Linked DNA regions of Drosophila melanogaster. The protein of the gene in region 1 purifies or fractionates together with the protein of each later gene. This does not show direct contact. Each region holds a gene or a part of one and is shown on either strand. Other genes may lie near its edges. The genes, in order: Prp8, CG4849 and Brr2.

Region 1 (8,516 bases):
CTTTTGGCTTCAATGATTCAAAAGCATAGCTACATTTCTAAAGAATATTAACCAATCCATATATAGTAACTTACAGAGAGTTATGCTTTGTATCTGTATCTATGATTTGATGAGCCTGATAGATAGTATCTCAAGTTGACTACTCTTTCCGATTAAATTGTAAAGTTTTGGGTAATATTTTTGAAAAGAACTGTGAGGTTTGAGTACTTTCCCAGCTAATCTTGGCCCGAAAATCATTCAACAGCTGTTCACTCCACTGTGCGTCTGTCTGTCTGCCCATTAAATGAACGATAAAACATGCCGAATATATTTACATATATACCCCATCTATGTGATATGGTGGCCAGGGGCTGTGGGCTGTGGGCACTCGCATGAGGAGATAACGATATAAACGGCGGCGGAAGAGTCTCCGAAAAACAGTCGAGACTGGAGCGTCGCCGGGTTTACACGATCCGAGAGCTTTGCATCGCAGAAACAGAAGAAGAAGAAGGCATTGAAGTCCATATCCTATACCGAAGCTATCATGTTGAAGGCGGTGAGTGTGTGGTTCCAAGGGGCGGACCTAATCTAATCGCCGGTTCAGATATGAAAGTGGCTTCAATTTAATTTACTATCAATACCCATCGATTCACCTTGATTACTCCGGATGTTTGGCCCGCTGCAGATTATCGTTTTTGCCACTATCTTGGTGGCCGTGGCCATGGCCATGCAGCCACTGGAGGACAATGAGCGAACCCATCATCTGAACCACAAGCGCCAGTTGTCGCAACAGCACCACCACCACCACCAAAAGCTCCAGGAGGTGAGGCATTCGGGCCATGATAGTCTGAAACATGGTGGTTCCCACGTTAAGGAGCATCAAGCGCATCACTCTGAGCGAAAGGCCAGGCAGAGCCACAAGGAGCCGGGCCACAAGAAGAGTCACCACCAGAAGGAGCACCGCCAGCAGCAGGACAACCACACCCGCAAATCCCGATCGCATTCCAAGGGCAGCAAGCAGCATCACAAGCGGCACACGGGATCGCGTCGCCACTAGGATAATCCTGTATCCTGTGGCCAGGATATATTCTATTTAAACTCTAGCCAATGGATTCCTTATGCGAGGATTAAACTCCGAATACAGTAAACACTCGTATAATTGCATGTATGGCAACAGTAAAGCCAATCTATTTAAATGTTTACAAAACTACTGTGAAATATAAGCCATGACCAAATAAACACACATTTCATAAATGATATTAATATCCACAAGCAGCTTCAACTTTTAATAATTTGGAACACTTGATGTAGGAAATGCATTTAACTTGGATTTTAAGTTGAAAAACAGGTAGTATTTCAGAGAATTATGAGTTTTAAATAGTTTATGGCCGCAATAACTAACTTCTATAGTATGGTTTTCTTTTGAAATTTTACAAAGAGTTATATACTATATAAACTTCTGGCTGATATCCATTGTATAGACCAGCTTTCTTGTGACCCCGTTTATGGCCTGAAATTTGGCCATGTGGATCGTTAAAGATAGGTCCAACTAAAGGTTCAGATGTGTGTAATTACTCGACTTGGCCAACTCGGAATTTTGCTGGCCGGCTTATGTATGTTACGTTAGCCGCCTCAATTTCTTTGGAAGTTCAAAAAACAAAAAAGAAATCCGGTTTTGGACAATTGAAATTTGAAAATAATAAACCACACATGCGAGCGTAGTCGTACGTAAAGTGTTTTTTGTTTTTGTTTTGTTTTTATTGCAATAAAGCCGGTGTTAATTGTGCTCTGGGGTCAAAAACTGCCGCTGACGTCATCAACTCGTCGTTGCAAGACAGTGAAAGGGTTAAAATTTCAAAACTGGGGGGCTTGCTTGTATAACTTCTTTGGTCACTAGTGCGATTACATAGGATTTTGTGGATTAAGGAACGTATGTCCATATGTCTGAAACTTCTTGCTTAAGGAACGTTTTTCGGTCTGGCATCATAGTATTATCCCCAAACTGGGTAAATTCGGGGACGATAGAATCCGCCTCCGTAGGAGCGATATCCGCCGTAGCCGCCGTAACCGGAATATCCGCCGTACTTGTAGCCACCTCCATAGCCGCCGTAGTAAATTGGCGATGGAGCTGCATAGTAGCCGTAGCCAATGGAGTCCGCGGTGGAGAGATCAGCCTCCTCAGCGGGTTTCTTGTCCTGCCAAGCGAATGGATTTTGTTGGTTGGTTTTGAAATGGAAAAACTAAAGATATGACCTACCTCTATAGGAGCTGCGCTGATGAATCCGATAATAGCCAGGCACAAAAGGATGGAAAATAACTGAAAATGTTCACAACATTTACTCATTATGATAGAAACACTTTTTGTTTGTGTGTAATACCTTTGCCATTGTTGCTTTTATTTGCGAAATTTAACGGGGATGCACTCTAGATTTTATGTTTTTCTCTCAAATTAGCAACTTTTCCCGATCGTGTTCTGGCCAGAAGCGTTGTTGTCCGTAAACTGTGATCCCCAGCGACCTGCCGACAATATTTATAGTGGCCCAAAACGTCCCGGGGATCGATTTTGCACATGATCATTGATTGGACAAACATTCGGGAGTCTGGGGATGTCGTTACCCGATGCGAAATGAGGTGTTTCATTATCACAGATGACTCGATGGGATCTTCCAATTCGGTTATTTGAATTTCTAAGCTACAGTGAGCATTAGTTAATGGCCAAAGAAAAAGTTATTTAGTGTTTTATTTATTCGGTTTGTTGTTAGCTAAAGTCGACTGTGTGTTCTTATTTTTACCAGTCATCAACAATAATATTGACGCACTACACTAATTAAGTTCCTAATTATTAATATTAACACATTTGTTGACGAGCTGATTCATTGATTTAATTACAAGGATTTAGCCTTAATTAAAAATGCTAATGTCTCGATATTTTTTACTACTACAATACAAAGTAATTTAAGTGAATAAGGCTAATTAGTTTTAGTCGTCGCAGTTTTGGTGAATTTGTAATATATTCCCCAATAACACCGTTATTTAAATTTTCAAATTTGCTCGCACTTTGTGTGGTTATCTTGACTGCTTTTTACCACTAGACTGTTTAGCAATTCACCTAATCTCTCGATAGACGATAGATGTCTTATCGATTGAGTGATGTGACCGTTCTACTATTCTATAAATGGCTGCCGCATGAAAAAGTAAACCTCTCGTTTTGCGAACCGGAAAAATTGTGAATTGCGGCCAAAGAAAGGCAGAAAAAGTGCCAAATAGGCAGTACAGTTGCAAATTAACTGCCAGGTAAGATATTCAAACCAAGATTAGCTGGGGGAAAAGCGAAATTTACGCTTTTTCACAGCGTGGTGAAAATTGCAAAAGACCGCGACGTCGGCGGCGGCATTTCGATTTCTCCCCCTGAAACAAAACGTGTCTGTGTGTCGTAAAGTGTATGTTTTTCGTCGTTTATTGATTAGGATAAGTGCCGCGGAACGATGTCCATTCCGCCGTACATGATACCACAAAATGCGTGGGCAGCCCAGCTGATGGCCCAGCAGGCCTACGCGGCTGCCCATGCTCAGCAGGCTCAACTGCACGCCCAGCAGCAGATGGCCAACCAAATTCAGCAGATTCCGCCACCGGGGGCTCCGCTGCCGCCGGCCGGTGGCCATACCAACGGTATACCCATCCCGGTGGGAGGTCAGGGACCCGGATTGGGCCAGATTCCCACGCCCAAGCCGGACATACTCACCGAGGAGAAGCTGCAGGAGAAGGCGCTTAAATGGCAGCATCTGCAGTCCAAGCGATTCGCTGAGAAGCGCAAGTTTGGCTTCGTGGATACCCAGAAGGAGGATATGCCGCCGGAGCACATCAGGAAGATCATTCGCGATCACGGAGATATGACGTCGCGCAAGTATCGTCATGACAAGCGAGTATATCTCGGCGCCCTGAAGTACATGCCACATGCTGTGCTCAAGCTGCTAGAGAACATGCCAATGCCATGGGAGCAGATCCGGGATGTCCAGGTGCTGTACCACATCACTGGAGCCATTACCTTTGTCAATGAGATTCCCTGGGTTATTGAGCCCGTCTACATAGCACAATGGGGGTAAGTTGACTTTAACTTGTCCTCGTGGACACAACTGACGTTAAACACTTCCGCAGTACAATGTGGATCATGATGCGGCGTGAGAAACGCGATCGTCGCCACTTTAAGCGCATGAGATTCCCGCCATTTGACGATGAAGAGCCGCCTCTAGACTATGCCGACAACGTGCTGGACGTGGAGCCCTTGGAGGCCATTCAAATTGAGCTGGACAATGACGAAGACAATGCTGTATACAAATGGTTTTATGACCATCGTCCTCTAGTGGATACACAGTGAGTTTTGATTTGTCATTTATATCTGATCTTGTTTTGATTCATTTATTACCATCTAAGGTTTGTGAACGGCACTACCTACCGAAAGTGGAATCTTTCCCTGCCTCAGCTAGCCACGCTGTATCGATTGGCCAATCAATTGCTCACCGATCTAGTCGACAATAACTTCTTTTATTTGTTTGACCCAAAAAGTTTCTTCACCGCCAAGGCTCTTAATATGGCCATTCCAGGAGGACCTAAGTTTGAACCCCTCATTAAGGACCACAATGTTGGGTAAGACAATGCATACCCTAAATACTTGTTAAAATGTAATTCCTGCTTTTATTTAATTTTAGGGACGAGGATTGGAACGAGTTCAATGACATTAACAAAGTCATTATCCGGCAGCCAATTCGCACGGAATACCGCATTGCCTTTCCTTACTTGTACAACAATATGCCACACTTTGTGCATTTGAGCTGGTAAGAGTCCACATTCTTCAAAAATTACCATTCTAAAATCTTATTTACGTGGTTAGAAACGTTTCCAAGTGATCAGCCTCTCTGGAAATGCTTCATGCCGCGTTAGAAAAACGACGAGCTCCCAGGTTACTGCCAAATTTGCGATAAAACGGGAGCTGCAATGAATATGTTCGTGGCGATTGTTAAGAATTAATCGTGACTGCTGATAGTTGCATACATATAAACTCATTTGTAGCTTAGAGGATCCACATGACCACATGATGTACTTTGTCTATTTCAGGTATCACACTCCCAACGTGGTCTACATCAAGACCGAAGATCCCGATCTGCCTGCATTTTACTTTGATCCGCTCATCAATCCCATATCCCATCGCAATGCAAACTCGAAGATTCAGGAGCCCCTACCTGATGACGACGAGGACTTTACTCTTCCGGACGACGTGCAGCCGTTCCTGCAGGACACTCCCCTGTACACTGACAACACTGCAAACGGAATCGCCTTGCTGTGGGCACCCCGCCCCTTTAACATGCGCTCTGGTCGCTCCCGTCGTGCCATCGATGTGCCGCTGGTCAAGTGCTGGTACAAGGAGCATTGTCCACCTGGCCATCCGGTTAAGGTGCGCGTTAGCTACCAGAAACTGCTCAAATACTATGTGCTCAATGCCCTAAAACACCGCAAACCAAAGCCACAAAAGAAACGGTGAGTTTTATTTAAATCAAACTATAGAAACGTTTTGAATTGTATCCTTACTTTGCAGCTACCTCTTCCGTTCGTTTAAGGCCACAAAATTCTTCCAGACCACAACTCTGGATTGGGTTGAGGCTGGACTGCAAGTTTGTCGTCAGGGATATAACATGTTGAATCTATTGATTCACCGAAAAAATCTTAACTACTTGCATTTAGATTACAATTTCAACTTGAAGCCCGTTAAAACTCTGACCACCAAGGAGCGTAAGAAGTCGCGATTCGGAAATGGTAAGCAGTTAAATTTCTAAAAATTTCCCTTTTATCAATTCCTTTCATTCCTATTAGCTTTCCATTTGTGCCGTGAGATCCTGCGTCTGACCAAGCTAATCATTGACTCTCATGTTCAGTATCGGCTAAACAATGTGGACGCCTTTCAGTTGGCTGACGGACTGCAGTACATATTCGCCCATGTTGGCCAGCTGACTGGCATGTATCGCTATAAATACAAGCTGATGAGGCAGATTCGAATGTGTAAGGATCTGAAACATTTGATATACTATCGCTTCAACACGGGGCCCGTGGGCAAGGGACCCGGATGTGGCTTTTGGGCACCTGGATGGCGAGTCTGGCTGTTCTTTATGCGCGGCATCACTCCGCTACTGGAACGCTGGCTGGGCAATCTATTGTCGCGTCAGTTCGAGGGTCGTCACTCCAAGGGTGTGGCCAAGACGGTGACTAAGCAGCGTGTTGAGTCCCACTTTGATCTGGAGTTGCGTGCCTCCGTGATGCACGATATTGTGGACATGATGCCCGAGGGCATCAAGCAGAACAAAGCTCGTACCATTTTGCAGCATTTATCGGAGGCATGGCGTTGCTGGAAAGCGAACATTCCGTGGAAGGTGCCTGGTCTACCCATTCCCATTGAGAATATGATCCTGCGTTACGTGAAAATGAAAGCCGACTGGTGGACAAACACGGCTCACTATAATCGGGAACGTATACGACGTGGAGCAACCGTCGATAAGACGGTGTGCAAGAAGAATCTGGGGCGACTAACGCGACTCTATCTGAAGGCGGAGCAGGAGAGGCAGCACAACTACTTAAAGGACGGTCCGTACATATCACCGGAGGAGGCTGTGGCTATTTACACAACCACGGTCCATTGGCTGGAATCACGTCGCTTTGCGCCCATTCCCTTCCCACCACTTTCATACAAACACGATACCAAGCTGCTAATATTGGCCCTTGAGAGGCTAAAAGAGGCGTATAGCGTTAAGTCCAGGCTGAATCAAAGTCAGCGTGAGGAGCTGGGCCTCATCGAACAGGCCTACGATAATCCTCACGAGGCGTTGTCCCGCATCAAGCGTCATCTGCTCACGCAGCGAGCCTTCAAGGAGGTTAGTTATCACTATTTCTATCTGTATTTGAAATAACTTTAAGACTTGTATTACTATCTTAGGTGGGCATTGAGTTCATGGACTTGTACAGCCATCTGATTCCAGTCTACGAAGTGGAACCCCTGGAAAAGATTACAGACGCATATTTGGATCAGTATCTGTGGTATGAGGCTGACAAGCGTCGATTGTTCCCGCCATGGATCAAGCCCAGCGACACGGAGCCGCCACCATTGTTGGCCTACAAGTGGTGTCAAGGTATAAAGTTGGAACTGGTTTCAAAAGAACATAGTTGACGGCGGTACCGGGCATTTTGGGTGTGTGATTTGTAGCAAAGTGATATGTATTTGATCATCCCCTTGTTGCAAACCTCACGCCAAAGATGATCTGCGAAATACACAGTGGTATGGAAAAAAAAGGAATATAGAACCCCTTTGATACTATCTCTGGCTTAGCTTATTCGTATTTTTCTCCTCAACAGGCATTAACAATCTGCAGGATGTTTGGGATGTGGGTGAGGGCGAGTGCAATGTGCTGCTGGAGTCTAGATTTGAAAAGCTGTACGAGAAAATTGACTTGACGCTGCTTAATCGTTTGCTCCGCCTGATTGTCGATCATAATATCGCCGATTACATGACGGCCAAGAACAACGTTGTGATCAACTACAAGGACATGAACCACACGAACAGCTACGGCATCATTCGCGGTCTGCAGTTCTCATCGTTCATCACACAGTACTATGGACTGGTGCTAGATCTCTTGGTTTTGGGTCTTCATCGATCCAGCGAGATGGCTGGCCCACCCCAAATGCCGAACGATTTCCTCACGTTCCAGGACACAGTCACAGAAACGGCACATCCTATTCGATTGTACTGCCGCTATGTCGATCGTATTCACTTGTTCTTCAGATTCTCAGCGGAGGAGGCTCGCGATCTGATCCAGCGCTATCTTACCGAGCATCCGGATCCGAACAACGAAAACATTGTGGGCTACAATAACAAGAAGTGCTGGCCACGCGACGCTCGTATGCGTTTAATGAAGCACGATGTTAACTTGTAAGTCTCCATTTACTCAACAACCACTTTGAAAGCGCGTAACGATGAATTTCTTTTGTTTTACAGGGGTCGCGCAGTCTTCTGGGACATTAAGAACCGACTACCTCGCTCTGTGACCACCATTGGTTGGGAGAGCACTTTCGTTTCGGTGTATTCGAAGGACAACCCCAATCTGTTGTTCAACATGAGTGGATTTGAGTGTCGCATTTTGCCAAAGGTTCCTTTAGCCACAAATTCAATTTAAGATCAGTTTATAATTCATCGTTTTATCCCCACAGTGTCGCACTCAGAATGAAGAGTTCACCCATCGTGATGGTGTTTGGAATTTACAGAACGAAATCACCAAGGAACGTACTGCCCAGTGCTTCCTGCGTGTGGACGATGAGTCATTGGGTCGTTTCCATAATCGTGTTCGACAGATCCTGATGGCCTCTGGGTCCACTACGTTCACAAAGGTAGTTTATAAGCAAGGAATATATTGTTAAGATTTATAAGTAAAACCCATAACCCCATAACAACCCTTTCTATTTTAGATTGTGAACAAATGGAACACAGCGCTCATAGGCTT
Region 2 (9,733 bases), on another chromosome or scaffold:
TCAAAAGAAACAACCTGTTGATTGGGTTTTTATTGGTTTCTGCCCGCCTCACCTGTGCTGTTTGTAAGGATTGGCTAGAATATTGCGCAGTTTGGGCAGCAATTTCTTTTTGCCCTTAGCTTCTTTCTGTTTTATGCTGGACAAACTCATGTTTACGATATAAACTAATAAAAAATAAAAAATTTCTGCTGAAAAATCAAACAACAATGTGTTTGGCTTTTGGCCAGTGTGACCGCGTTTCTTAGTTTAAAATAAGCCATAGCTTAAATCGCGTTGCCAATTGCTTTACGTTTTTATTTAAATTAAAACTCTTAATTTTTGCTTCTAAAAATTTTTAATCAAACTCTTAATTTTTATTTGCAATCATTTTCAGTACCAGTAAAGTTCCGGCTCCGTGTCCGAAGAGTACTTCAATTTTCTCGGTCTCTGGCGAACGTAATCTTCGACGAAATTCAATTGCCTTGGTGTTGTGGTTTCTACTTGAGTTTCTACTATTTCCGTTGTTGTTAAATTAAATCCAAATGGTGTTGATAATGTAGAACTTTCCTCTTCGGTGCTGTCAATCACTGCATCCAGATACGACGTGGTAGTTTCCACGCCCGGAGTCGTGGCAATGATTTCCAGCAAGGATGTAGTAGATTCCTGGGTTTCTGTGGTTGAAAACAATTCTTCTGTTGAAGTTTCTGCTGTTTCAGTTGTAGTTTGATCTGTGGATAATGCAAACGTGGATTCGTTCGGTTCTGTGGTAGAATCAGCAGATTCAGTCGTTGATTCCGGCAATTCTGTAGTGCTTGGATTGATTTCTATTTCTGTGGTAGTTTTTATTAGTTCTTTCTCTGAAAATTCAGAACTTAAAGTAGTCGTTGATTCCGGAAATTCCGTAGTACTTGGCATAAACTCTGTTGTTGTTGATTCCTGCAATCCTGTAGAGCTCTGAATGGTTTCTGTAGTAGTTTCTTGCCATCCTGTAGATAAATCTGGATAAATTAACGTTGATTCAGCATATTCAGTACTGTCTGAATTGCTTTCTGTCGTTGAATCTGCAGCTTCTGGACTCGAAGTTGTTGTGGAATATAGGGCTACTGATTCAGTGGCATCTATAGCATCTGTGCTGGTGACTTCCGGCCAAGCTGTTGTCGTGGAATATAAAGTATCCGTGGTTGAAGTTACATAACTAGATTCGGTGGTTGAATAATCCACCGCCGTAGTTGTAGATTCCTCAGTGGCACTTTTCTCCGTTGTAGTAGATACTTCCCCAGTGAAGTAGCCAGTAGTCTCCTGCGGATTGGTGGCCACCGTAGTTGTGTCCCAAAAATCTCCATCGAACGGATTGGTAAAATTTACGATGCGCGGCTTGTAGGGTGTGTAGATTTTGGCTTTGTAAGGCTTGTGGTTCTTGATGTATTCCTTGGCTATGCTAATCCACTCCTCGCGACCGAGAATATCGTTTAAATTTCGGCTTGAGGCCACAAAATGCGCCATTAAAAGAAGCAAACAGAATTTTCTCATTATGATGCTGATACCTTCGGTTGACACTTTCGACTAATTACCTTTGGCGACTGCAGTGCAATATAAACGCAAGGGTCTACCTACGTTTCAACGCGTATTTTAGCTACCTGCTTTCTTGGCAAAAACGTTAATTAGCCCTAATGAACTGGAAAATTCAAATGTTGCCGCCAGGGCTGCAAGCGCTTACTTTATTTGTGCTGGCAATGCCGTAGGTAATGCCGGCCGCTTAACAGCTGAGTGTTTTTCGGGGAAGAAGAAGAACAGCGTGTTTGCAGTCCGCGTTTTTGTGTAAAAATTGTGAATAATTATATTATTTGCAGTTTTCTTACGTTTTAAAGAAGAATTTAGCAATCAGAAGGTCCTGTAACAATTGGTAAGTCGGTAAAAACAACAAAAAACAAGAGTAGCATAAGTTTCGAGTCACCGTGAAAGTTTTAAATTTTCTAAGACGCCACCGGCAAATTTTGAATGAAAGTATTGATATATATATTTATTTTAGGAAAAACCATGGATTCCGATTTGTACGATGAGTTTGGCAACTATATTGGCCCCGATTTAGACAGCGACGAGGAAGATGAGCAAAGTATTTATGGGCAACCCGATGTGCAGGATGACCCAGAGGTATAAACGTGCAAAAAATAAAATAAAACTTATAATTAATTTATGGTGTTTCATTTAAAGGACGCCATGGACGAGGACGAGGTGGAGCCACAGGAGGACGAGGACAAGGAGGTGACCGCCGTGGTTTTGCACGAGGACAAACGCTACTATCCGTCAGCAGTTGAGGTCTACGGCCCGGATGTGGAGACCATTGTCCAGGAGGAGGACGCCCAGCCGCTGGACAAGCCGCTTATAGAGCCAGTGAAGAAGCTCAAGTTCCAGATCAAGGAGCACGTGGGCATCTTGACAGATGCACTGGTGGCCATTAGACGGACGAGGTGAGTTGGTCGCAGGCTCAAGGAAACCAATAGGCAGGAGAAACGCCGCGAGTTTATGGCGCGTAGGGAGCTCTCCAGGCCGAGATGTATTCCGTATCGAGTGGCAAACGATTTGGTCTGCCCGTCGCTGCTTTTAATTGCATTCTGAAGGATCTGACGGAACTGCTGCACTTCCTCCTCCGATAAAAGAGGGCTAAAGTCAAAAGAAACAACCTGTTGATTGGGTTTTTATTGGTTTCTGCCCGCCTCACCTGTGCTGTTTGTAAGGATTGGCTAGAATATTGCGCAGTTTGGGCAGCAATTTCTTTTTGCCCTTAGCTTCTTTCTGTTTTATGCTGGACAAACTCATGTTTACGATATAAACTAATAAAAAATAAAAAATTTCTGCTGAAAAATCAAACAACAATGTGTTTGGCTTTTGGCCAGTGTGACCGCGTTTCTTAGTTTAAAATAAGCCATAGCTTAAATCGCGTTGCCAATTGCTTTACGTTTTTATTTAAATTAAAACTCTTAATTTTTGCTTCTAAAAATTTTTAATCAAACTCTTAATTTTTATTTGCAATCATTTTCAGTACCAGTAAAGTTCCGGCTCCGTGTCCGAAGAGTACTTCAATTTTCTCGGTCTCTGGCGAACGTAATCTTCGACGAAATTCAATTGCCTTGGTGTTGTGGTTTCTACTTGAGTTTCTACTATTTCCGTTGTTGTTAAATTAAATCCAAATGGTGTTGATAATGTAGAACTTTCCTCTTCGGTGCTGTCAATCACTGCATCCAGATACGACGTGGTAGTTTCCACGCCCGGAGTCGTGGCAATGATTTCCAGCAAGGATGTAGTAGATTCCTGGGTTTCTGTGGTTGAAAACAATTCTTCTGTTGAAGTTTCTGCTGTTTCAGTTGTAGTTTGATCTGTGGATAATGCAAACGTGGATTCGTTCGGTTCTGTGGTAGAATCAGCAGATTCAGTCGTTGATTCCGGCAATTCTGTAGTGCTTGGATTGATTTCTATTTCTGTGGTAGTTTTTATTAGTTCTTTCTCTGAAAATTCAGAACTTAAAGTAGTCGTTGATTCCGGAAATTCCGTAGTACTTGGCATAAACTCTGTTGTTGTTGATTCCTGCAATCCTGTAGAGCTCTGAATGGTTTCTGTAGTAGTTTCTTGCCATCCTGTAGATAAATCTGGATAAATTAACGTTGATTCAGCATATTCAGTACTGTCTGAATTGCTTTCTGTCGTTGAATCTGCAGCTTCTGGACTCGAAGTTGTTGTGGAATATAGGGCTACTGATTCAGTGGCATCTATAGCATCTGTGCTGGTGACTTCCGGCCAAGCTGTTGTCGTGGAATATAAAGTATCCGTGGTTGAAGTTACATAACTAGATTCGGTGGTTGAATAATCCACCGCCGTAGTTGTAGATTCCTCAGTGGCACTTTTCTCCGTTGTAGTAGATACTTCCCCAGTGAAGTAGCCAGTAGTCTCCTGCGGATTGGTGGCCACCGTAGTTGTGTCCCAAAAATCTCCATCGAACGGATTGGTAAAATTTACGATGCGCGGCTTGTAGGGTGTGTAGATTTTGGCTTTGTAAGGCTTGTGGTTCTTGATGTATTCCTTGGCTATGCTAATCCACTCCTCGCGACCGAGAATATCGTTTAAATTTCGGCTTGAGGCCACAAAATGCGCCATTAAAAGAAGCAAACAGAATTTTCTCATTATGATGCTGATACCTTCGGTTGACACTTTCGACTAATTACCTTTGGCGACTGCAGTGCAATATAAACGCAAGGGTCTACCTACGTTTCAACGCGTATTTTAGCTACCTGCTTTCTTGGCAAAAACGTTAATTAGCCCTAATGAACTGGAAAATTCAAATGTTGCCGCCAGGGCTGCAAGCGCTTACTTTATTTGTGCTGGCAATGCCGTAGGTAATGCCGGCCGCTTAACAGCTGAGTGTTTTTCGGGGAAGAAGAAGAACAGCGTGTTTGCAGTCCGCGTTTTTGTGTAAAAATTGTGAATAATTATATTATTTGCAGTTTTCTTACGTTTTAAAGAAGAATTTAGCAATCAGAAGGTCCTGTAACAATTGGTAAGTCGGTAAAAACAACAAAAAACAAGAGTAGCATAAGTTTCGAGTCACCGTGAAAGTTTTAAATTTTCTAAGACGCCACCGGCAAATTTTGAATGAAAGTATTGATATATATATTTATTTTAGGAAAAACCATGGATTCCGATTTGTACGATGAGTTTGGCAACTATATTGGCCCCGATTTAGACAGCGACGAGGAAGATGAGCAAAGTATTTATGGGCAACCCGATGTGCAGGATGACCCAGAGGTATAAACGTGCAAAAAATAAAATAAAACTTATAATTAATTTATGGTGTTTCATTTAAAGGACGCCATGGACGAGGACGAGGTGGAGCCACAGGAGGACGAGGACAAGGAGGTGACCGCCGTGGTTTTGCACGAGGACAAACGCTACTATCCGTCAGCAGTTGAGGTCTACGGCCCGGATGTGGAGACCATTGTCCAGGAGGAGGACGCCCAGCCGCTGGACAAGCCGCTTATAGAGCCAGTGAAGAAGCTCAAGTTCCAGATCAAGGAGCAAGACATGCAGGAGACCACCTACGACATGGAGTTCATGGCCGATCTCATGGACACTCCGCCGCTTATTCGCAACGTGGCTTTGGTTGGCCACCTGCACCACGGCAAGACCACCTTTGTCGACTGCCTCATCCGGCAGACGCATCCGCAATTTGAGACCATGGAGGAGCGCCAGTTGCGCTACACGGACACCCTGTTCACGGAACAGGAACGCGGCTGCAGCATCAAGGCCACGCCGGTCACACTTGTCCTGCAGGATGTCAAACAGAAGAGCTACTTGCTGAACATCTTCGACACCCCGGGGCATGTCAACTTCTCGGACGAGGCCACCGCCGCCATGCGAATGAGCGATGGTGTCGTGCTGTTCATCGATGCCGCCGAGGGCGTCATGCTCAACACGGAGCGACTGCTCAAGCACGCGGTGCAAGAGCGCCAGGCTATCACCGTTTGCATAAACAAGGTGAGGGTTTGGCCTTAAGGTGACACTAAACTTTCTAATGGTTTCCTCTGACGTGCAGATTGATCGCCTCATCCTGGAGCTGAAATTGCCGCCCCAGGACGCCTACTTTAAGTTGAAACACATTGTGGAGGAAGTCAATGGGCTGCTGAGGTGATTACGTGATTCATACTCAACACTAATGATTTTACTAATGTGTAATTTTCTTACAGCACCTATGGCGCTCCAGATGACAATCTCTTAGTTTCGCCTATTTTGGGCAACGTGTGCTTCGCCAGCTCGTTGTACGGATTTTGTTTCACTCTGAAATCCTTTGCCAAGCTGTATGCAGACACCTATGAGGGAGTGGCTTACCTGGACTTTGCCAAGCGGCTCTGGGGTGACATGTACTTCAACAGTAAAACGTAAGTGCTGCCTAAATATCCAAATCATTTGCTAATACCAACTATTTTAATAGGCGCAAGTTCTCGAAGAAGCAGCCGCACAATTCGGCACAGCGCAGCTTTGTGGAGTTCATTTTGGAGCCCATGTACAAGCTGATAGCCCAGGTGGTTGGCGATGTGGACACCACTTTGTCGGACACTCTGGCCGAGCTGAATGTGCGCGTCTCCAAGGAGGAGATGAAGTCCAATATAAGACCACTGCTGCGTCTCGTCTGTAACCGCTTCATGGGCGACTGCAGCGGTTTTGTGGATATGTGCGTGGAGCACATTAAATCCCCTTTGGAAAATGCCAAGCGAAAGGTGGACCATATATACACTGGACCCAAAGAGGGTGACATTTACCGGGATATGATATCATGCAACCAATACGGCACTCTGATGGTGCACAGTTCCAAGATGTATCCCAACGACGACTGTACCTTCTTCCAAGTGCTGGCGAGGATTGTCTCTGGTACTCTACACGCTGGCCAGGAGGTGCGTGTCCTGGGAGAGAACTACACCTTGCAGGATGAGGAGGACTCTCGCATTCTGCAAGTCGGTCGTCTGTGGGTATTTGAGTCTCGTTACAAGGTGGAGTTAAATCGTGTACCCGCCGGAAATTGGGTGCTCATCGAAGGCATCGATCAGTGTATCGTTAAGACCTCCACAATTGTGGATATTAATGTTCCAGAAGACCTCTACATATTCCGACCACTGAAGTTCAACACCCAGAGCATTATCAAGATTGCTGTGGAGCCAGTGAATCCATCCGAGCTTCCCAAGATGTTGGATGGCCTCCGCAAGGTGAATAAATCCTATCCACTTCTCTCCACTCGAGTTGAAGAATCCGGCGAGCATGTTATTCTGGGCACTGGCGAGCTGTACTTGGATTGTGTCATGCACGATCTGCGGAAGATGTACTCCGAGATCGACATCAAAGTGGCGGATCCCGTCGTGGCTTTTTGCGAAACAGTTGTGGAAACGAGTTCCCTGAAATGTTTCGCCGAAACGCCGAATAAGAAAAACAAAATAACCATGATCTCGGAGCCACTGGAGAAGGGACTGGCCGAGGACATTGAGAACGGAACCGTCTGCATAAACTGGAACAAAAAGCGCATCGGCGAGTTCTTCCAAGTCAACTACGATTGGGATCTGCTTGCGGCGCGTTCCATTTGGGCCTTCGGTCCCGACTCCACGGGTCCAAATATCCTGGTCGACGACACCCTGCCCTCGGAAGTGGACAAGAACCTGCTGACCGCGGTTAAGGATTCGATTGTGCAGGGCTTCCAATGGGGAACGCGAGAAGGGCCGCTGTGCGAGGAGCCAATCCGTAATGTCAAGTTTAAGATTCTCGATGGCGTCATCGCCAACGAGGCGTTGCATCGAGGCGGTGGACAGATCATTCCAACAGCCCGTCGTGTGGCATACTCGGCGTTTTTGATGGCCACCCCACGTTTAATGGAACCATATCTATTTGTGGAGGTTCAGGCGCCGGCAGATTGTGTATCCGCTGTCTATACTGTGCTGGCCAGGCGCAGGTAAGTTTTGCTGCTCATGTTTCCGTAAGAGAATGCCTCTAAATTTTATATAATCTATTTTGCAGAGGCCACGTAACGCAGGATGCTCCCGTATCGGGTTCTCCCATATATACGATCAAAGCCTTCATACCCGCCATTGATTCATTTGGATTTGAGACGGATCTCCGCACGCACACCCAGGGCCAGGCCTTCTGCCTTTCGGTGTTCCATCACTGGCAGATAGTGCCTGGCGATCCCCTGGACAAGAGCATCATAATCCGGCCACTGGAGCCGCAGCAAGCATCCCATTTGGCCAGAGAGTTTATGATCAAGACGCGTCGCAGGAAGGGTCTGTCCGAGGACGTGTCCATCAACAAATTCTTCGACGATCCTATGTTGCTGGAGTTGGCACGCCAGGATGTGCTGATCAACTACCCGCTTTAGACTTCCCACAAATCAGGAATCGGGAAAACAAATAAAACATTTAGACATACTTTCCGAATTTCAATTGCGAACTTTAAAGGGAGTAGTGTTTTTTTTTACTATATTTACTAAATATTTATTTGAAGCCTTTTCGGGACAAATAATTTACAAAATAGTATACAGAAAACAGCTACAGTTGTGATAGTTTCTAGGACTTTACTCGCCATTGCCGTTCTGCAGGACCTCCGACTCGTAGCCTTCCTGCTCGGCCTGCTCGTCATCGAACTCCACTTCGTCGTCGGCGGTAGCCTCCTAAAGGAGGAAACCAATGGAAATCGTTTTTAGAGATACTTTGCAAGGATATGGAGGGATCGCTAACCTGGTACTGTTGGTACTCGGATATCAGATCGTTCATGTTGCTCTCGGCCTCGGTGAACTCCATCTCGTCCATGCCCTCGCCGGTGTACCAGTGCAAGAAGGCCTTGCGCCGGAACATGGCAGTGAACTGCTCGGAGATGCGCTTAAAGATCTCCTGGATGGCGGTCGAGTTGCCAATGAAGGTGGCGGACATCTTGAGCCCACGGGGCGGGATGTCGCAGACGGCCACCTTGACGTTGTTGGGAATCCATTCGACAAAGTAGCTGCTGTTCTTGCTCTGCACGTTGTACATCTGCGTGTCCACCTCCTTCATGGACATGGGTCCTGTTAATTATTGAGAGAGCGTTGAAACAAAATTGCCTTCGTACAATCTTCCTGTGCGCATTTAAACATTTACATCAAAAGACAAGTTCGCTTTGATGCGCCGGCGGAATCCCCAAATCCCTGAATATGAAATACTAAATGGCTTCCAAGTTCTGCCTGCGCACCTGGCCGGGCACCTGCACTGGGATCTCAGCTCGGAGCTTGGGAATGGAAACAGTGAAAAAGTCCCAGGAGGTAACTAAAAAAGTTGTTTAAATTCCTGCTCGCTGGCATTTTTTCCGCACATTTTTGTGATTAATTATTTTGCAAGTATTTCTGGCAGTCGGTCGGAGACGATAACGAATCCTGAGATGGTGACGCCGGATCTGGGCTGAACCTGGGCTAAGCTTGAGTGCGGGTGCGCTGGAACGCAGTGCAGGCCAAGTCACGTTCGGCATGATTAGTTGGGCCTGGGGGCCGTGTCAGGCGGCGGTCGCAATTCCCCAATGGATCTTGAAAGTAAATTTCTAATTACGCGCGTTTTGCGAGTCATCAGTCAAAAGCAAAGGGGCCAAAGCGGCGCGAGCGCACACAAGGAATAGCAAATGAAATATTATGCGGCACACTTTTGGGCGCCGCATCGCAGTTTATTAATTTAGGAATTAGCGCGAAAAAAAAAAAATGCGAAGCAACCTTTTCGGTGGGCGTGGCGAGGGCGGCATGCCACGATGCCATGGCTAACAAATTTGCGCTACGTGCGCGTTGACGGATTGCAGCCTTTTTAGCCGCCAGCCAGCGGGCATTAATCATTTTTAGTGGCGCCCATAAGTAGTAGGCCCAGTGCTCGGCTTTCGCTAATAAAATCGTCGCCAAAGCCAAGCCCCAGGAGTCCAAGGTGTTGGCCAGGGGCGGCTGTGTCGTTCTATTCTAAGGGGGTGTCCTGCAGATGCGGCTCAGATCTCTATCTATACGATGTCTTCCTTGTCAGACAGTCCTTTGGTTTGGTTTGGTAATACTACCACTAGTTTTGGTAATTGCTTAGTTTTCAGCCTTTCAATTTTTTTCTTATTCTAAAAACCGCTCCTTGCGGATCCCTTGATCCGCCCCTGATGGCTCGACTACGTGCCTGCGGGTCCGGAAAAGCGGCGGACAGGTGCGCCGCCGACTGCCCATGACAAAGTGACAAAG
Region 3 (11,861 bases), on another chromosome or scaffold:
GATTATGAGTGCGGTTATCAAGCACAACCAAGATGGACGAACCCTGTCCGAACCGTTCATGAAGTTGCCTTCGCGGCAGAGGTTGCCCGACTACTACGAGATCATTAAGCGGCCAGTTGATATTAAGAAAATCCTGCAGCGCATTGAGGACTGCAAGTATGCCGATCTCAACGAGCTGGAGAAGGACTTTATGCAGCTATGCCAGAATGCACAGATCTACAACGAAGAGGCGTCTCTGATTTACCTGGACTCGATTGCCCTGCAAAAGGTATTCGTTGGGGCCAGGCAGAGGATAACAGCTGCAGCGGATGCAGCCGCAGTGGCAGCCGGAGATAACACGGGTGAAGCGCACGGCAATGGAGGTTCGGATAATTCGGACAACGACGACGACGATGGTGGCGATGACGGCTCCGACGACGAGGAGATTGCAACCACTTCAGCGGCGGCTGTCAAAATGAAGCTGAAACTGAACAAATCTCTGGCTAGTGCGCCCGCTACGCCCACGCAATCATCGTCGAATGTGAGCAGCGGAGCGGCTACCACATCCAAGAAGCAGACGCGTCGCAAGCGCTCCCAAAAGAAGTACACTATTTCAGACGATGACGACGATGACATGGACTAGCTACCGTTGGGAGTGATCTTCAAGCGCGGATCGTCGGATGTCGAAGGCATGGGCAATTGATTATTAATTAGTTTAAGTTTTACTTTCAAGGACGATGCTTACCAAAACCCTAGCCTACGGGTTTTTTTAACCATCTAACCTATCATGCTATCACTTTTATCTATACTAATTTTCTAGTTGTAGGTTCTCGATTAAGTTTCCTATTCAATTATTTTCGCACACACCATTTATTTCTCCCAATTCTATTGATTGTATAATTATGTGCTTTAAAATAAATGCATACCTAACATAAAGTAAATCGAAAAACTTGTCATTAATGGACGGCGGATTGCTCCTTGAGAGATTGTTCAACCTAGACCAGGCTGGAATTAGTAACAAAGATCTTATTTAAATCGGTACCTAAATGAATACATCGCTGCTAGCGTATAAAGGAAATGGTTTTAAATATATCAAAATGGGAAAATTATGATGTTTCGTTTAATTAATAAGTTGTATTTTAGGAAGTCTTACAGTAATTAAAATTAGCTTCAGCATTTCTACTTATTACATTTATAACTAAGCTCCTTCAAATAAATGCATACTTAAACATATTGATATGCTTGGTAAGACTAAAGCAGGTAGTGGAAGTACTCGTCGCACATCTCGTGGACACTAGCGGTGTGCTCCTCGTCGCCGCTATCACTGCTTCGCAACGTGATTTTGTGTGCATTGGCGTACAAGTCGTCCTCATCAACAGCCGCATCGTCGGTTTCTATTAATTGAAATTGCAAAAGTGATGTGGCAGAAATGATAGTGGACGTAACTTCGTGACCTCACCTCGGTACTTTTGTTTGCGCCTCAACCGTTGCTTGGAGCTTGAGAGCACTGCTTCGTCGCCCAGATCCAATTCGTTTTCGCGGGAGTTCCGGGAGTAACGAATTGGCGGTGCCAGGAACCAGTAGGATTGCATGATGCCTTTGAGACCCGGCATTTGACGCAGTTCGGCCAATTTGAGCGGCTGCCTGGACAATGCTTGGAAAGATCGCAGCTGCAGTGTGACTGGTTGCGAAGTGCAGTTGATCAGCCTAATTACGGACTTCGCGGCTGTGGAGCAGACCATGGGATATATTTTGACATCCGGATCCGTCGGGACATTGGTGTAGGCCACTCCCAGCGATCTGCGGTTCAAATAGAACTCCAAGTGCCCACGCGTTCGATCCAAACAGACACCAATCAAGCAGCCCTGCGAGAACTTCTGGCCGTAGGGCAGTAACTCGCCACAGTGCTGAATCCTTCCGGAATACGAAAAGCCCCAGGACTGGGCATTGGTGCCCAGGGCCGAGACAAAGTGAAACTTGAACTGCCCTAGATTAACGCTTTCCGTGCCGATGCCGAACATCTAGGAAAAGTTATAAGAAAAGAAAGGCAATTATAAAGAGAACATTATTTACATTGAACTTTAGCTGGCTTATCATCTAGTTGGGGTGTCTGCTGAGATTTCCTCCTCCCGCTGCGTCTGTTATCTTATCGCCGCGTTGTAATCTGTAATCCATAATACAACGAAGCGAACAATCAAGTCGTCTCCAATGGAAACGAGCACACCAGATGCCTGGTTAGTTGTGTTCTATTTTAAGGCGGCGACTTTGAGTGACATTCATCATGCTGAGCATCCCAACTAGTTGCCAAGCCGGCCTGATAACTAACCACATCCGTGCCGGCCAGAGTCGTGATGACGCGCATCTCCCAAAAGTGCACCATGTTTGTTTTTAGGGCCTGTTCCCCTCTCACAATCGCCGTGCCCTGACTGTAGGTGGGATGGAAGATGATGTCCCGGTCGGTGACCACGGCATCCGATTCATCAGTGGCGTGCCACCGCCAGGCATTCACGTTTCCGGACTCATCCTCGCCGCATTGGCACCTGACCAGGTCGGGTATATGGCCCTTGTGGTTGGTAACCTCAATGGAGTTGGGAAACGGGCAATCACAGAAGCCGGGATTGCAGGCTTCTTGGTACGGGGGCAGCAGCATGCTGGCACTTGTTCCTCTTCACTGGTTTACCTTCGATTGCTTTGTAATGAATTGTGTCAGCCGTGTACAATGATCTCGAGCAGTCGACGGACCACAAATGTTTCCAGTTAAACCAGCTGCAGCCTCATATATAAGCACATTACTCTGATCTGACTGAACAATAAACAAAACGATGCGTTGTAAATAGACGTCGGCATCGCTGCCGACGTCGCCGCCAGTGTGACCGAAGCCGCAGTTCGGAACTTAAAATATACTAGATATATCTCAATTATGAGAATTATGGTCAAATTTATAGCAATTTCTTTTGTGGATTGCTAGTGCGTAGGAAATTTTGGTGTTTACAAAAGCTAAAAAACCAGTATTCAAATTTTAAATAGAATGTTGATGGGCTACATTTTTAAAAACTTAGATGCGCGCGCTAACGATAGGTTTCCTACAAATGGCAGCCCTGATATCGATTTTCAGTTGGCTTCGCACATATGGCATCTCTTTAGCCTTTTGACAATCTGGCAGCACGCGTAGCCACAAACAGCGGCTTTTCACTACGATATTTCCGCAAAAAGTTGTAAAATAGGTTAATAAAAGTGCTTAATACTTATAAAAACAACTAAACAGACATGGCGGATGCCGCAGCACGTCAGCTGCAATACGAGTACAAGGCGGTAAGTGTCAAATCCCGCCCGGGAAAACTTCTCCCACTCCATGCGGCGTCTCACCAGAATTTCACAAACACGTTAAATGTATTTTCCATTTTTCAGAACTCCAATCTTGTGCTGCAAGCCGATGTCCGACTCATCGAACGTCCGCGCCGCGATGAGGCCACTGGCGAGGTGTGTTCCCTGGTGGGAAAGCTGGACGGAACAAGGATGGGAGATCGGTACCAGCGAACGAAGCCGGAGAAAACGGAGGAGCGCAAGGTGAAACGTCAGAAGCGCGACGAGGCCCAGTACGATTTCGAGCGGATGAAGGGAGCCACTCTGCTCTCCGAGGGCATTGACGAGATGGTGGGCATTGTGTATCGACCCAAGACCCAGGAAACTCGTCAGACCTACGAGGTCCTGCTCAGTTTCATCCAGGAGGCTCTGGGGGATCAGCCCAGGGATATCCTGTGCGGTGCCGCTGATGAGATTCTGGCTGTCCTCAAGAACGATCGTTTAAAGGATCGGGAGCGAAAGAAGGATATAGACAGCTTGCTGGGCGCAGTTACAGATGAGCGATTCGCTCTGCTGGTTAACCTGGGCAAAAAAATCACAGACTTTGGCAGCGATGCCGTGAATGCTTTGACTGCTGCTCCCAACAACGAGGAGCAGATCGATGAAACCTACGGCATCAATGTTCAGTTTGAGGAATCCGAAGAGGAGAGCGACAACGACATGTATGGCGAGATTCGCGACGATGATGCCCAGGATGAAGGAGAGGAGGCCCGCATTGATCACACACTGCATGCAGAGAATGTGAGTAATGTAGTTAAAATTGCGAATCCCATTTCTTATTCGTGTATCCCTTCCCAGCTAGCCAACGAGGAAGCCGCAAATAATGTAAAGAAAGAGCGCTCCTTGCATCCTCTGGACATAGATGCGTATTGGTTGCAGCGTTGTCTGAGCAAGTTCTACAAGGACGCCATGGTGTCGCAAAGCAAAGCCGCCGATGTGTTGAAGATCCTCAAAGATGCCGCCGACGATCGCGATTGCGAAAATCAATTGGTGCTTCTGCTGGGCTACGATTGCTTTGACTTCATTAAGCAATTGAAGCTTAACCGGCAGATGGTCCTGTACTGCACCATGCTCGCCTCGGCCCAAACGGACAGCGAGCGGCAAAGGATTCGCGAGAAGATGCGCGGAAATTCTGCGTTGGCCAAAATCCTTCGGCAATTGGATACGGGAAAGTCAGAGGATCAGGAGGAGGGCGAAGCACGGGGAAGCAAGCGTGGCAAAGGCGATGCAGAGGATGGTGGAGCGGCGGCTGCCGGGCAGGTGGCCGGTGTGCGACAGCTACTCGAGTTGGAAGAGATGGCATTCACTCAAGGATCTCACTTTATGGCCAACAAGCGCTGTCAGCTTCCCGACGGCTCCTACAGGAAACAACGAAAGGGCTACGAGGAGGTGCACGTGCCTGCACTGAAACCCGTGCCATTTGATGCCAATGAGGAACTTCAGCCTGTGGACAAGCTTCCGAAATATGTGCAGCCTGTGTTCGAGGGTTTCAAGACCCTTAATCGTATCCAAAGTCGTTTGTACAAGGCCGCACTGGACAGTGATGAGAATATGCTGCTGTGCGCCCCTACTGGAGCTGGTAAAACTAATGTGGCACTGCTAACCATGATGCGGGAGATTGGAAAGCACATCAACGAGGATGGCACCATCAATGCGCAGGATTTCAAAATCATTTACGTGGCTCCCATGAAATCGCTGGTGCAGGAAATGGTTGGCAATTTTGGACGACGTCTTGCTTGCTATAATCTGACGGTCTCTGAGTTGACTGGAGATCACCAGCTGACCAGGGAACAGATCGCCGCCACGCAGGTGATTGTGTGCACACCAGAGAAGTGGGATATCATCACTCGAAAGGGAGGCGAGCGTACCTTTGTGAGCTTAGTCCGGTTGGTTATCATCGATGAGATTCACTTGCTCCACGACGAGCGTGGTCCGGTGCTTGAGGCCCTGGTGGCGCGTACGATAAGGAATATTGAAACTACCCAGGAGGAGGTGCGATTGGTGGGCTTATCTGCCACACTGCCCAACTATCAGGACGTGGCCACCTTCCTACGCGTAAAGCCCGATAAAGGCCTCTTCTACTTTGATAACAGCTATCGGCCTGTGTCCCTGGAGCAGCAGTATATCGGTGTGACGGAGAAGAAGGCCCTAAAGCGATTCCAGGTGATGAACGAGATCGTTTATGAGAAGACCATGGAGCATGCTGGGCGTAATCAGGTCCTGGTCTTCGTACACTCGCGCAAGGAGACTGGAAAAACGGCCAGGGCTGTGAGGGACATGTGCCTGGAGCAGGATACCCTTGGTAGCTTTCTTAAGGAAGGATCAGCAAGCATGGAAGTGCTGCGGACTGAAGCCGAACAAGTAAAGAACACAGAGCTTAAGGAGTTATTGCCCTACGGCTTCGCCATTCATCATGCTGGAATGACCCGCGTCGATCGTACTTTGGTGGAAGATCTATTTGCTGATCGGCACATTCAAGTTTTGGTTTCCACCGCCACGCTAGCTTGGGGTGTCAATCTCCCTGCCCATACTGTAATCATCAAGGGCACGCAGGTATACAATCCGGAAAAAGGACGTTGGGTGGAGCTGAGTGCTTTGGATGTACTGCAGATGTTGGGTCGTGCTGGACGACCGCAGTATGATACCAAGGGTGAGGGTATTCTTATAACCAATCACAGTGAGTTGCAGTTCTATCTCTCCTTGCTCAACCAGCAGTTGCCGATTGAGTCCCAATTCATCTCCAAGCTTCCTGACATGCTCAATGCGGAGATTGTGCTAGGAACGGTCCAACATCTCCAGGATGCAGTTAACTGGTTGGGCTACACTTATCTGTACATTAGAATGCTGAGGAATCCCACGTTGTACGGAGTTTCCCATGATGCCATCAAGGCTGATCCTCTGTTGGAACAGCATCGTGCTGATCTCCTGCATACCGCAGCTTGCTGTCTGGAGAGAAGTGGCCTTATTAAATACGATCGGAAGACGGGACACTTTCAGGTTACTGATCTGGGACGCATTGCCTCTCACTATTACCTAACCCATGAAACCATGCTGACTTACAACCAGCTCCTTAAGCAAACTCTTAGTGAGATTGAGTTGTTCCGCGTATTCTCCCTATCCTCGGAATTCCGGCATATTTCCGTCCGAGAAGAGGAAAAGTTGGAGCTGCAGAAGCTCATGGAACGAGTGCCCATTCCCATTAAGGAGTCCATTGAAGAGCACAGTGCCAAGGTGAATGTTTTGCTGCAAGCCTATATCTCCCAGTTGAAACTGGAGGGCTTTGCATTGATGTCGGACATGGTGTTTATTACCCAATCCGCTGCCCGTTTAATGAGAGCCATTTTTGAGATTGTATTGACCCGCGGATGGGCTCAATTGGCGGACAAAACGTTGACGCTCTGCAAGATGATCGACAGAAGAATGTGGCAATCGATGACACCACTTAGGCAGTTCAAGAAGATGCCCGATGAGATTGCCAAGAAGCTGGAGAAAAAACACTTCCCCTGGGGCAGGCTTTACGATCTAGAGCCACATGAACTTGGTGAGCTGATTAGAGTGCCCAAGCTAGGAAAGACCATCCACAAGTTTGTGCACCAGTTCCCCAAATTGGAGCTCTCCACGCACATTCAACCCATAACAAGGGGAACTCTGAGAGTGGAACTAACAATTACACCGGATTTCCAATGGGATGAAAAGGTGCATGGCCAGTCGGAAGGTTTCTGGGTTTTAATTGAAGATGTCGACTCGGAACTCATTCTCCATCATGAGTTTTTCCTGCTGAAGCAGAAGTATTCCCAAGATGAGCACCAGCTTAAGTTCTTTGTGCCTGTCTTTGAACCTCTGCCACCGCAGTACTTCCTTCGCATTGTCTCAGATCGTTGGATAGGTGCAGAGACCCAATTACCAGTTTCTTTCCGACACTTGATTCTGCCCGAGAAGAATATGCCACCTACGGAGCTTTTGGATCTCCAACCGCTTCCTATTAGTGCACTCCGGCAGCCGAAGTTTGAATCCTTTTATTCGCAACGCTTCCCGCAATTCAATCCCATTCAGACACAGGTCTTCAACGCAGTCTACAATAGTGATGAGAATGTCTTTGTTGGAGCACCAACCGGATCCGGAAAGATGACTATTGCAGAGTTTGCCATCATGCGCTTGTTCACTACCCAATCCGATGCCCGATGTGTATATTTGGTCTCGGAGGAGGCATTGGCGGACTTAGTTTTTGCGGATTGGCATAGCAAATTTGGATCCCTGGACATAAAAGTGGTTAAATTGACCGGCGAAACTGGAACCGATCTTAAGCTCATAGCCAAGGGACAGCTGGTGATCACTACTGCGGATAAGTGGGATGTGTTGTCTCGCAGATGGAAACAGAGGAAGAACGTACAATTGGTGAACCTGTTCATTGTGGACGAACTGCAGTTGGTTGGTGGCGAAGAAGGTCCCGTTTTGGAAATTGTATGCTCCAGGATGCGATACATTAGCTCGCAGATTGAGAAACAGATCAGAATAGTGGCGTTGTCTGCATCGCTAACGGATGCCAGGGATGTCGCCCAGTGGCTGGGCTGTAATCCCAATGCCACTTTCAATTTCCACCCCAGCGTGCGTCCCATTCCGTTGGAGCTGCACATCCAGGGCTATAATGTCACTCACAACGCCACCAGAATTGCTACGATGTCCAAGCCTGTTTACAATGCCATCCTCAAGTACAGCGCCCACAAGCCGGTGATTGTGTTTGTCTCGTCCAGAAAGCAGGCCAGGCTCACTGCAATTGATGTTTTGACCTACGCAGCATCGGATTTGCAACCCAACCGTTTTTTCCATGCTGAGGAGGAGGACATCAAGCCGTTCCTCGAACGAATGACGGATAAAACTTTGAAGGAGACCCTAGCGCAAGGAGTGGCCTATCTCCATGAGGGCCTATCCGCCTCAGATCATCGCCTGGTGGAGCAGCTGTTTGACTCTGGCGCCGTGCAAGTAGCTGTTATCTCCAGAGACCTTTGCTGGGGCATGAGCATCTCCGCTCACTTGGTGATCATCATGGACACACAATTTTACAATGGCAAGAATCATTCGTATGAGGACTATCCCATTACAGACGTGCTGCAAATGATTGGTCGAGCCAATCGGCCGAACGAGGATGCGGATGCCAAATGCGTGCTGATGTGCCAGAGCAGCAAGAAGGACTTCTTTAAGAAATTCATCAACGAGCCGCTGCCCATCGAAAGTCATTTGGATCATAGAATGCATGATCACTTTAACGCCGAGGTGGTCACCAAGACAATTGAGAACAAACAGGATGCCGTTGATTATCTCACCTGGACGTTCCTCTACAGACGATTGACCCAAAATCCCAACTACTACAATCTGCAGGGTGTCACGCATCGCCATCTCTCCGACCATCTTTCGGAGTTGGTGGAGAATACGCTGAGCGATCTAGAACAGTCCAAGTGTATTAGCGTGGAGGATGATATGGACACGCTGCCACTCAATCTGGGCATGATTGCTGCCTACTATTACATCAACTACACAACTATCGGTATGAAGCATTAGATTTAAGTTTAGGCAATTGTCATCTTCATTTTCCTATCATTTTTTCCCAGAGCTCTTCAGTTTGTCCCTCAACAGCAAAACAAAAGTGCGGGGCCTGCTGGAAATTATTTCATCGGCAGCTGAGTACGAGGATGTTGTGGTCAGGCATCATGAGGAGCAGGTTCTGCGCACGCTGTCTCAGCGACTGCCCAACAAACTCACAGGACCCAATGAAACGGCTCCAAAGTAAGCAACCCATACATTTAGATCTTAAAAAGAATTTTACCAATGTTATTTTTAGATTCAATGATCCGCACATCAAGACCAATTTGCTGCTTCAGGCTCATCTTTCGCGATTGCAACTGGGACCTGAACTGCAAGGCGATACGGAGCAGATACTGAGCAAGGCCATCCGCCTCATTCAGGCCTGCGTAGATGTGCTGAGTTCAAATGGCTGGCTGTCGCCGGCTGTGGCTGCCATGGAGCTGGCTCAGATGGTCACGCAGGCCATGTGGAGCAAGGACTCGTACTTGAAACAGTTGCCGCACTTTAGTCCCGAGATTGTCAAGCGGTGCACAGAGAAGGTGAGAGTAACAACAAGTGAATCTCTAGGATTATCTCATGTTTCGTCGTATATTTCAGAAAATCGAAACCGTTTTCGATATCATGGAATTGGAGGACGAGGATCGCACTCGCCTGCTGCAGCTCTCCGATTTACAAATGGCCGATGTTGCTCGATTCTGCAACCGTTACCCCAACATTGAGCTGAACTATGAGGTGGTGGACAAGGATCGCATCAACTCAGGATCAACCGTTAATGTAGTGGTTCAACTGGAACGTGAGGATGAGGTCACTGGCCCAGTCATTGCTCCATTCTTCCCGCAGAAGCGCGAAGAAGGATGGTGGGTCGTCATAGGTGATCCCAAGACCAACTCCCTGCTCTCCATCAAACGGCTCACGCTGCAGCAAAAGGCAAAGGTCAAGCTGGACTTTGTGGCACCTAGTCCGGGCAAACACGACTACACTCTGTACTACATGAGCGATTCCTATTTGGGTTGTGATCAGGAGTACAAGTTTTCCATCGAAGTGGGTGACTTCCAGTCGGAAAGCGAAAGCGAGTCAGATTAGTTTTCTTTAGGATCATCAGTTGGGCATGTTTGCACAAATGAAAATCAATCATTTTACAATTTACGCGCATTAATTGTAGCAATAATAAATTCGTGTACTACTTTAGTAGAAACCAAATTGTACAAGGATACACTGAGGATAATTATATAAAGTAGTACAAAAAAAAAAAAAAACAAAATAAAAAAAACCTTTCAACTTTCTTTCGCTGGTTGATACCAAGAATCTAAATATTTTGTAGTCAACAGTGCCAATTCTTATATTGTCTTAAGCTTTTAAATTTCGTATGGAACAATTCAAGTTTGTTGTAATTTGTAATCTGGATCATCAAAATGCAACCGTTTAGATTTTAAAAAAATCATTCAAATTATTCATTCAAATTCAATTCAATCATAAATATTTATTTGGATTTTTTAGATATTTGCACATAGGATTGCTGACAAATAGATTAACTTGGAGGTATTTTCCCTGTATGGTGAACTTGGCTTTTAGCGGCTGACAGAAACTGCCGATCCATGGCTACTGCCACGATTGGCTCCTCCATTAGCGAAGCTGTTCGTGGAGCTAAAGTTTATTGTCTGTCCATTGGGAAGATGGTAAACCTGACTCAGCGAAGCACCTGCCGCATTATTGGATCCAAAGGGGCTGGTGTTCTGGGACTGAGTGGCCGTGCTTGCGGAGGAGGCACCGAATGATCCATTGGCACTCTGCGACTGGAAGCCCTGAGCCTGCCCACTGGCGGCCGAGGATCCTGAGTTGAGTCCATTGTTGTAGTTGCTGTGGGCAGCTCCGTTGGATGCGGCCTGCTCCTGGTTGTAACCACTGGGTCCGAGTGGTCCCAGCGGATTTAACTCGACGTTGGCATTGGCATTGCCGCCATCTGGTCCGGCACCAACATCAACACCCGCTTTGGTTCCCCCAGCGCCGGCCGATGTACCTGCCTGAACTTTTCCACCTTGATTACCGCCGAATCCGGGATTTCCTCCGAATCCTGGGTTACCGCCGAATTCCTGATTACCGCCGAAACCCTGATTACCTCCGAATCCCTGGTTGCCTCCAAATCCTTGATTACCGCCGAATCCACCTCCAAAACCAGGCTCTCCACCGAATCCGCCACCGAAGCCGGGATTTCCAGCATACTGACCACCAAATTGTCGCCCAAACTGACGCTTCACCCTCTTGTGAGCGGCCTGGATTCCGGATATTTGATCCAGGACCGAACGGACGCGACGCACCTGCGGATTAGACTTCGGTTTGATGTACAAGGCTGATTCCACCACTACTTCCTCGATAGTGGCGCCCTTGGAAGCTGTAAAATGCAATGGTATATACTTTATAAAATATTTTATATTTATTTTAATTTAATTAATAGAAGCTGAATAATCGGCAAGCTTATTATTAAAAAATTCGGAGCAATCTATTATTTTACTAAATATTTTACGCTTTGTTCGCACTACAGAATGTGTACATATGTATACACAAAAATTTATAGATAGATATGTATTTATATATATTTACAGAATTTCAGATTTGAAAAGTATTTTCCAAATGTATTTAGGAAGTTTTACAATCTAAGAATTGTAAGATTTTCGAGCGTTAAGAATTTTACTTACGCAAATCATCATCGCCGGTTTGAACCTGCTTCTCGTTGCGCTGCCTCAGTTGAGGAAACGCCGACGCAGCTGCCAGACAGATGAGGGCCACAAATAGCACCGGAATTGATACATTCATTTCGTGTTCTTCGATTAGATTGGTTGCCTTCTGGAGATCGCAGCTGGACACGTCCGTTGGCTGCGCCGCTTCGCGATCAACTGTTGGATGTATATATTTCAGCCTGTCCGCTCCGCCGCCAATCGGCC

The links.
Region 2: the proteins of Prp8 (region 1) and CG4849 purify together in Drosophila melanogaster (affinity purification with western blotting; 2 studies listed by BioGRID, with this or other methods). This does not show direct contact.
Region 3: the proteins of Prp8 (region 1) and Brr2 purify together in Drosophila melanogaster (affinity purification with western blotting; 2 studies listed by BioGRID, with this or other methods). This does not show direct contact.

The regions. Positions count from the first base shown.
Region 1 is NT_033778.4:12,157,642-12,166,157, reverse strand, and holds the start of Prp8 (pre-mRNA processing factor 8), read left to right. Parts: upstream 1-3,159; 5' UTR 3,160-3,273; intron 3,274-3,446; 5' UTR 3,447-3,464; coding exon 3,465-4,078; intron 4,079-4,134; coding exon 4,135-4,350; intron 4,351-4,410; coding exon 4,411-4,623; intron 4,624-4,685; coding exon 4,686-4,811; intron 4,812-4,854; exon of another isoform or gene 4,855-5,032; intron 5,033-5,091; coding exon 5,092-5,511; intron 5,512-5,569; coding exon 5,570-5,787; intron 5,788-5,844; coding exon 5,845-6,896; intron 6,897-6,958; coding exon 6,959-7,151; intron 7,152-7,187; exon of another isoform or gene 7,188-7,286; intron 7,287-7,374; coding exon 7,375-7,948; intron 7,949-8,014; coding exon 8,015-8,165; intron 8,166-8,226; coding exon 8,227-8,403; intron 8,404-8,481; coding exon 8,482-8,516. Other genes in the region: CG34232 (uncharacterized protein), read left to right, coding at 647-1,036; CG13177 (uncharacterized protein), read right to left, coding at 1,971-2,174, 2,237-2,296, 2,358-2,366.
Region 2 is NT_033777.3:27,959,026-27,968,758, forward strand, and holds CG4849 (uncharacterized protein), read left to right. Parts: upstream 1-4,389; 5' UTR 4,390-4,528; intron 4,529-4,654; 5' UTR 4,655-4,662; coding exon 4,663-4,776; intron 4,777-4,836; coding exon 4,837-5,505; intron 5,506-5,563; coding exon 5,564-5,655; intron 5,656-5,714; coding exon 5,715-5,906; intron 5,907-5,959; coding exon 5,960-7,462; intron 7,463-7,527; coding exon 7,528-7,885; 3' UTR 7,886-7,933; downstream 7,934-9,733. Other genes in the region: CG42487 (uncharacterized protein), read right to left, coding at 53-150; CG31253 (uncharacterized protein), read right to left, coding at 370-1,509; CG31131 (uncharacterized protein), read right to left, coding at 3,016-4,155; betaTub97EF (beta-Tubulin at 97EF), read right to left, coding at 8,081-8,176, 8,244-8,566.
Region 3 is NT_037436.4:15,959,138-15,970,998, reverse strand, and holds Brr2 (Brr2 U5 snRNP complex subunit), read left to right. Parts: upstream 1-3,126; 5' UTR 3,127-3,246; coding exon 3,247-3,291; intron 3,292-3,387; coding exon 3,388-4,083; intron 4,084-4,140; coding exon 4,141-8,884; intron 8,885-8,948; coding exon 8,949-9,123; intron 9,124-9,178; coding exon 9,179-9,461; intron 9,462-9,519; coding exon 9,520-10,005; 3' UTR 10,006-10,163; downstream 10,164-11,861. Other genes in the region: brm (brahma), read left to right, coding at 1-622; CG10516 (uncharacterized protein), read right to left, coding at 1,231-1,373, 1,439-2,000, 2,306-2,629; CG17032 (uncharacterized protein), read right to left, coding at 10,491-11,311, 11,616-11,733. UniProt on the Drosophila melanogaster protein: Catalyzes the ATP-dependent unwinding of U4/U6 RNA duplices, an essential step in the assembly of a catalytically active spliceosome. Plays a role in pre-mRNA splicing.